Linked DNA regions of Saccharomyces cerevisiae S288C. The protein of the gene in region 2 purifies or fractionates together with the protein of the main gene of each other region. This does not show direct contact. Each region holds a gene or a part of one and is shown on either strand. Other genes may lie near its edges.

Evidence for each region.
Region 1: the proteins of NOG1 (region 2) and PUF6 purify together in Saccharomyces cerevisiae (affinity purification with mass spectrometry; 5 studies listed by BioGRID, with this or other methods). This does not show direct contact.

The regions. Positions count from the first base shown.
Region 1 is NC_001136.10:1,441,679-1,445,433, reverse strand, and holds the start of PUF6 (Puf6p), read left to right. Parts: upstream 1-2,030; coding exon 2,031-3,755. Other genes in the region: myo-inositol transporter ITR1, read left to right, coding at 1-1,721. UniProt on the Saccharomyces cerevisiae protein: RNA-binding protein involved in post-transcriptional regulation. Component of the ASH1 mRNP which transports the ASH1 mRNA to the distal tip of the bud, where the ASH1 protein is translated and targeted to the daughter cell nucleus.
Region 2 is NC_001148.4:368,997-372,751, forward strand, and holds the start of NOG1 (putative GTPase NOG1), read left to right. Parts: upstream 1-1,981; coding exon 1,982-3,755. Other genes in the region: EEB1 (medium-chain fatty acid ethyl ester synthase/esterase), read right to left, coding at 1-445; Sec63 complex subunit SEC62, read right to left, coding at 843-1,667. UniProt on the Saccharomyces cerevisiae protein: Involved in the biogenesis of the 60S ribosomal subunit.

The DNA of each region.
Region 1 (3,755 bases), on a different chromosome or scaffold from region 2:
CATCGCAATCAAATGTTGGTGATGCCGTTGGCAACGCTGATAGTGTAGAGTTCAACAGTGAGCATGACTCACCTTCAAAGAGAGGTAAAATTACACTTGAGTCACATGAAATACAGAGGGCTCCCGCTAGCGATGATGAAGATAGGATTCAAATTAAACCCGTGAACGACGAGGATGACACGTCGGTCATGATCACTTTTAACCAATCTCTTTCGCCCTTCATCATCACTCTGACTTTTGTCGCATCCATATCCGGTTTCATGTTTGGTTACGACACTGGTTATATATCCAGTGCGCTGATCTCGATCGGCACAGATCTGGACCACAAGGTACTTACTTATGGGGAGAAGGAAATTGTCACTGCGGCTACCTCTCTGGGAGCTTTGATTACCAGTATTTTCGCCGGTACTGCAGCTGACATATTTGGTAGGAAACGTTGTTTAATGGGTTCGAATCTGATGTTTGTCATTGGCGCAATCTTACAGGTCTCCGCACACACATTCTGGCAAATGGCTGTTGGTAGACTGATCATGGGTTTCGGTGTCGGTATCGGCTCCTTGATCGCGCCACTTTTCATCAGTGAAATTGCTCCCAAAATGATCAGAGGGAGACTAACTGTCATCAATTCCTTATGGTTGACTGGTGGTCAATTAGTCGCTTACGGTTGCGGTGCTGGGTTAAACTACGTCAACAATGGTTGGAGAATTCTTGTTGGATTGTCACTAATTCCCACTGCTGTGCAATTCACATGCCTGTGCTTTTTACCTGACACTCCAAGATACTACGTTATGAAGGGCGACTTGGCAAGGGCTACTGAGGTGTTGAAGAGAAGTTACACTGACACTTCGGAGGAAATCATTGAACGTAAGGTGGAAGAACTTGTTACTTTGAATCAATCTATTCCTGGTAAGAATGTCCCTGAAAAAGTCTGGAATACCATCAAAGAATTGCACACAGTACCATCTAATCTAAGGGCTTTGATCATTGGTTGTGGTTTACAAGCAATTCAACAGTTTACCGGTTGGAATTCGTTGATGTATTTCTCTGGTACCATCTTCGAAACTGTCGGTTTCAAAAATTCTTCCGCTGTTTCAATCATCGTGTCCGGTACCAATTTTATTTTCACTTTAGTTGCCTTTTTTTCCATTGACAAAATAGGCCGTAGAACCATATTATTGATTGGATTACCAGGCATGACCATGGCTTTAGTCGTGTGCTCTATTGCTTTCCATTTTCTAGGTATTAAGTTTGATGGCGCTGTCGCTGTGGTGGTTTCCTCCGGTTTCTCCTCTTGGGGTATTGTGATCATCGTATTTATTATCGTATTTGCTGCGTTCTACGCTCTTGGTATCGGTACTGTTCCATGGCAACAATCGGAACTATTCCCCCAAAACGTGAGAGGTATTGGGACTTCATATGCAACTGCTACAAACTGGGCTGGTTCACTGGTTATTGCATCCACATTTTTGACCATGTTACAGAATATCACTCCTGCAGGTACATTTGCCTTTTTCGCGGGATTGTCGTGCTTATCAACCATTTTCTGCTACTTCTGTTATCCAGAATTATCGGGATTGGAGTTAGAAGAGGTACAAACTATTTTGAAGGACGGGTTCAACATCAAAGCCTCGAAAGCTTTGGCCAAGAAGAGAAAACAGCAAGTTGCCAGAGTTCATGAATTGAAATATGAACCAACTCAAGAGATTATAGAGGATATATAGTCCTTTCACGAGGTAAAAGGAAGGAGACGCAATTGAATATTCAAATACATAGTAGAAAATAAATAAAAATAAATTACAAGATAGAAAAAAGTTCATTGTATTTAAGTCGAACTAATTGTTGTATGCATATATAGAAGATTAACTAACCCGGCATTGAAGACCTTTTTTTTTTTTCACCTTGAGAGAAATACTGAAAATTTTTTTTGCTGGGATGAGATGAGATGCCTACCTAAAGTATTTCGAAGGTGAAAGCGTTTTATTATAGAGTACTGAAATAAAGCACAATCAGGAATAACAAATTAACTGACAATGGCACCTTTAACCAAGAAGACAAACGGAAAACGTTCTGCTAAAGAAGTTAGTCATTCAGAAAAGAAATTAGCCAAAAAACCTAGAATTTCTATTGATTCGTCTGATGAAGAATCAGAACTATCCAAAAAGGAAGATGCTGTATCCTCTTCATCAGATGATGATGATTTGGATGATTTAAGTACCAGTGACTCTGAAGCAGAAGAAGAAGCTGACGAATTAGATATTTCCGATGACAGTGAGGAACATGAAAATGAGAATGAAGAGAAAGAAGGAAAGGACAAATCTGAAGGAGGTGAAAATGGAAATCACACTGAACAAAGAAAACTGCTAAAAGAAAGGAAAATGCAAAGAAAATCTGGTACCCAAGTGCAACAAATTAAATCCGTCTGGGAAAGATTGCGTGTGAAGACCCCACCTTTACCAAAACAGATTCGTGAAAAACTTTCCAACGAAATCTGGGAGCTATCTAAGGACTGTATCAGTGATCTTGTCTTAAAGCATGATGCTTCCCGTATTGTTCAAACTTTAGTCAAGTATTCGTCCAAAGATCGTCGTGAACAAATTGTCGATGCTTTAAAGGGAAAATTTTATGTTCTAGCCACATCTGCGTACGGTAAGTATCTATTGGTTAAGTTACTGCATTATGGTTCAAGAAGTTCAAGGCAAACTATAATAAATGAATTACACGGTTCTTTGAGAAAATTAATGAGACATCGTGAGGGTGCCTACGTTGTTGAAGATTTATTTGTTCTTTATGCCACACATGAACAAAGACAACAAATGATTAAAGAGTTTTGGGGCTCTGAATATGCTGTATTTAGAGAAACCCACAAAGATTTGACCATTGAGAAAGTTTGTGAAAGTAGCATTGAAAAAAGGAATATTATCGCCAGAAACTTGATTGGTACCATTACCGCATCAGTAGAAAAGGGTTCCACCGGCTTTCAAATTCTACATGCTGCTATGAGAGAATATGTGAAAATAGCCAACGAAAAGGAAATATCTGAAATGATCGAATTGCTTCATGAACAATTCGCTGAATTGGTGCATACTCCAGAAGGTTCAGACGTTGCTTGTACTTTGGTTGCTAGAGCTAACGCCAAGGAAAGAAAGTTAATTTTAAAGGCTTTGAAAAACCACGCCGAAAAATTGATCAAAAATGAGTACGGTAATATTGTCTTCATTACAATTCTGAACTGTGTTGACGATACAGTTTTAGTATTCAAGACTTTCAGTCCTACTGTTAAGGAACATTTGCAAGAATTCATAATTGATAAGTTTGGTAGAAGGCCTTGGTTATACATACTATTAGGTTTGGACGGTAAGTATTTCTCACCTATCGTCAAGAATGAATTATTGAGATACATTGAACTGTCCAAAGCCACCTCTAAGAAGGATCCTTTACAAAGAAGGCACGAACTTTTGTCAAAATTCGCCCCCATGTTTTTAAGCACTATATCAAAAGATTATTCCAGTATATTGACAGAGAATCTAGGCTGTCAGTTCATTGCCGAAGTTCTAATAAACGATGAGTTGTACGCGCAGCTGAATGAAAAAGACCAAGAAAAGTATCAACAGGTCTTAAACAACATTTTAACTACTTTTAAGGGTGACATAACCGAAGAAGAGCACCCAATACATAGAGCATTTTCTACTAGACTATTAAAGGCACTAATTCAAGGTGGTAAATGGAATAACAAAGAAAAAAAGGTCATACCATTA
Region 2 (3,755 bases):
TTCTCGGGTGAAGACGAGGCCAACCCTTTGGATGGGTGGCCTTTTCATCGTTCGAAAATTGTTTCTCGTTAAAACTAGCCTTTTCAGCATTTAATGAATATGTTTGCTCCCATTCAGGCATAACCCAATCTGCAGTGCAGACCCCTCCATCAGAAAATTTTATAATCTCTCTTCCATAAAATACCTGAAATTTTTTGGAAAAATCACCGGCTGACAAATAAAGGGTCTGTAAGTAACCTGTGAAAAGCAAGCTGTTTAACCTAAAATTTGCACCATCTTTGAGTGTAGGCACGTGTTTGGTTACGAATTCATGAAGAGGAATTTGGCGCTTAGAATCTCTGAAAGCCAAAGACTTGGTTCCTTTCTCTCCCAGTACATGTTTGACGGTGCCGTTATAGCCCCAATGGCTAGGAGTGACAGTTGGATAGTAACCCGAGCGAAACATTAAAATGACAAATATGAAAATACTTGATATCTTGATCTTTTTGCTAATCTTCAAAAATACCGAAAACTAAGTAGGCAACCAGATGCAGAACCCTTCTTATATAATCGATTCCTGTAAGCAAGTGTCAGCAAATAGCTTCTATATAGAGACCTTTCGGTGAAAGTATATTAAAGCCGGCCGGAAATTGAGTAATAATAACCGCTAATTATGCGGTGTGTGGATTCAGATTTTTGCCAGGAGCGATAACCTTCAAATCTAAAACTACTCACTATAAGCGATGAAGCAACCAGATGGTAGCGCTTTGGTGCCGGTTCTCTTGAAGGTTTGTACATGTGCGAGTTCATGAGGTTACAATATAGAAGGTTTATACAGTAGAGCTATACAGGATAATGGAAGTTCAGTTTTGTTCGGCTTTTTCATTGATGGCTTTCTTCTTATTGCTTTCTCTCTTGGCTTGTTTCTTCTTCATTCTTTTCAGTTTCTTTTTGTAACTATAAGTATCCTTCTCACCAAAACCGTAAAGTGGCTTAAAACTCTCTAGTACACCGCAATCTTCGAACAGGTTGGGAAAGATCCAGAACCCACCAACATCTTTGTAGACAATTAATGACAAAACATATAATATCAATCTCAGGATAGCGACAGCAAAGAAGCCTGCTAAGATGCCGAAGGCACCCAGAGACACATAATAGGAGCCGCGTCTCATGGAGCGCGGCCACAATGGGTAGCATACGAGCGCCAATATGATGGACACGACACCAATGACGATCAAGTAATCCATGTAGGTTCTAGGGTTATAGTTCCAAACAAAGTATTCATCGGCTTCCAATTGTGCTTTATTCGAAACAATCAAGTGCGGAAAGTCCTTGCTTGGCTTCAATCCATGCTCTTTGCATTCTTGACTATGCAATTTTTTCACTGGGATCACCATTTGTGCCTTTATAAGTTGAATAAAGATTTCACGTGACTTAAGCTGGTCTTCGATCTTGTTAGAAGGTATAGTTGGATATATCTCTGGCTGTCTTGCAGATTTGTTGGCATACTCCTCAGAATGCAGTGCCCTAACAAATCTCTTGTAACGGAAGAAGTCTGTCTGCTTGGCCTGGAATAAACCCTGCCTTTGCTTCAACTCCTTATGGTTGCGTAAAAGAGTAGCAATGGCTGTAGCAGATCCGCCATTGACACTAGCACCTGCATTGCTACCTGGACCTACGGCTGACATGTTCTCCTGTGTTTGCTCGGCTACCATACTGCATTCAACTGCAATTATAAAAGCCCACTCTTCTCCCTCTTGATTTGTATGCCAGTATTGGGAAAACGACACGTCTATTCCGTCGCACACGATCTTCACTTTCTTTTTTTTTTTCAACTGAACGAAAAGTTTTTTCCGCAGCTCATCGCAAAGAAAAATTTTCACCTATGTACTACCTCATCTAATACAATATAAAGAATACACTTCAGATTTAGGAGTTGCAGCGTTTATAAAAAAGTAAGTGTACCCTCCAAAAGCAAACACATCTCCCTCCTATACCGAAGATGCAACTTTCATGGAAGGATATCCCTACTGTCGCTCCAGCAAATGATTTGCTGGATATTGTCTTGAACAGAACCCAGAGAAAGACACCAACTGTGATCAGACCTGGTTTCAAGATTACAAGAATCAGAGCGTTCTATATGCGTAAAGTTAAATACACAGGTGAAGGTTTCGTGGAAAAATTTGAGGACATTTTAAAGGGTTTTCCTAACATCAATGACGTGCATCCTTTCCATAGAGATTTGATGGACACCCTATACGAAAAGAATCATTACAAGATATCTTTGGCAGCTATATCTCGTGCGAAGTCCCTTGTGGAACAAGTCGCCAGAGATTATGTCAGATTGCTAAAATTCGGTCAATCTTTATTTCAATGTAAACAATTGAAAAGGGCCGCTTTAGGTAGAATGGCAACTATAGTCAAGAAATTGAGGGACCCATTGGCCTATTTGGAACAAGTCAGACAGCACATTGGTAGATTACCATCGATCGACCCAAATACCAGAACCTTGCTGATCTGTGGTTATCCAAATGTCGGTAAGTCCTCGTTTTTGAGATGCATTACCAAATCAGACGTCGATGTTCAACCATATGCTTTCACAACCAAGAGTTTATACGTTGGTCATTTTGACTACAAATACTTGAGATTTCAAGCTATTGACACCCCTGGTATCCTAGATAGACCCACTGAAGAAATGAACAACATTGAAATGCAATCGATTTATGCCATTGCCCATTTACGTTCTTGTGTTTTGTACTTCATGGATCTTTCCGAACAATGTGGTTTCACCATCGAAGCTCAAGTTAAACTATTCCACTCCATCAAGCCTCTATTCGCCAACAAGTCTGTCATGGTTGTTATCAACAAAACCGACATTATCAGACCGGAGGATTTAGACGAAGAGCGTGCACAATTACTGGAATCTGTTAAGGAGGTTCCAGGTGTTGAAATCATGACTTCTTCATGCCAACTGGAAGAAAACGTTATGGAAGTTAGAAACAAAGCATGTGAAAAACTATTGGCTTCTAGAATTGAGAATAAGTTGAAATCTCAGTCTAGAATCAACAATGTTCTGAACAAGATTCATGTTGCTCAACCTCAAGCAAGAGATGATGTCAAGAGAACACCATTTATCCCAGAATCTGTCAAGAATTTGAAGAAATACGACCCTGAAGATCCAAACAGGAGAAAGTTGGCCAGAGACATCGAAGCTGAAAATGGTGGTGCTGGTGTCTTCAATGTTAACTTGAAGGACAAGTACCTATTAGAAGATGATGAGTGGAAGAATGACATCATGCCAGAAATCTTGGATGGTAAGAATGTTTATGATTTCTTGGACCCTGAAATCGCTGCTAAACTGCAGGCTCTTGAAGAAGAAGAAGAAAAATTGGAGAACGAAGGGTTCTACAATTCTGACGATGAGGAAGAAATCTACGACGGTTTCGAAGCATCCGAAGTAGATGATATCAAGGAGAAAGCTGCATGGATTAGAAATAGACAAAAGACGATGATTGCTGAAGCAAGAAATAGGAAGTCCTTGAAGAACAAAGCTATCATGCCACGTTCTAAACTAACTAAGTCCTTTGGTAAAATGGAAGAACACATGTCCACTTTGGGCCATGACATGTCAGCCTTACAAGATAAACAGAACCGTGCTGCTCGTAAGAACCGTTATGTTGAAAGAGGTTCTGATGTTGTTTTTGGCGACCAAGATGCTTTGACAGCTTCCACTGAAAACGGTGTCAAGTTGAGACAAACCGATAGACTGTTGGATG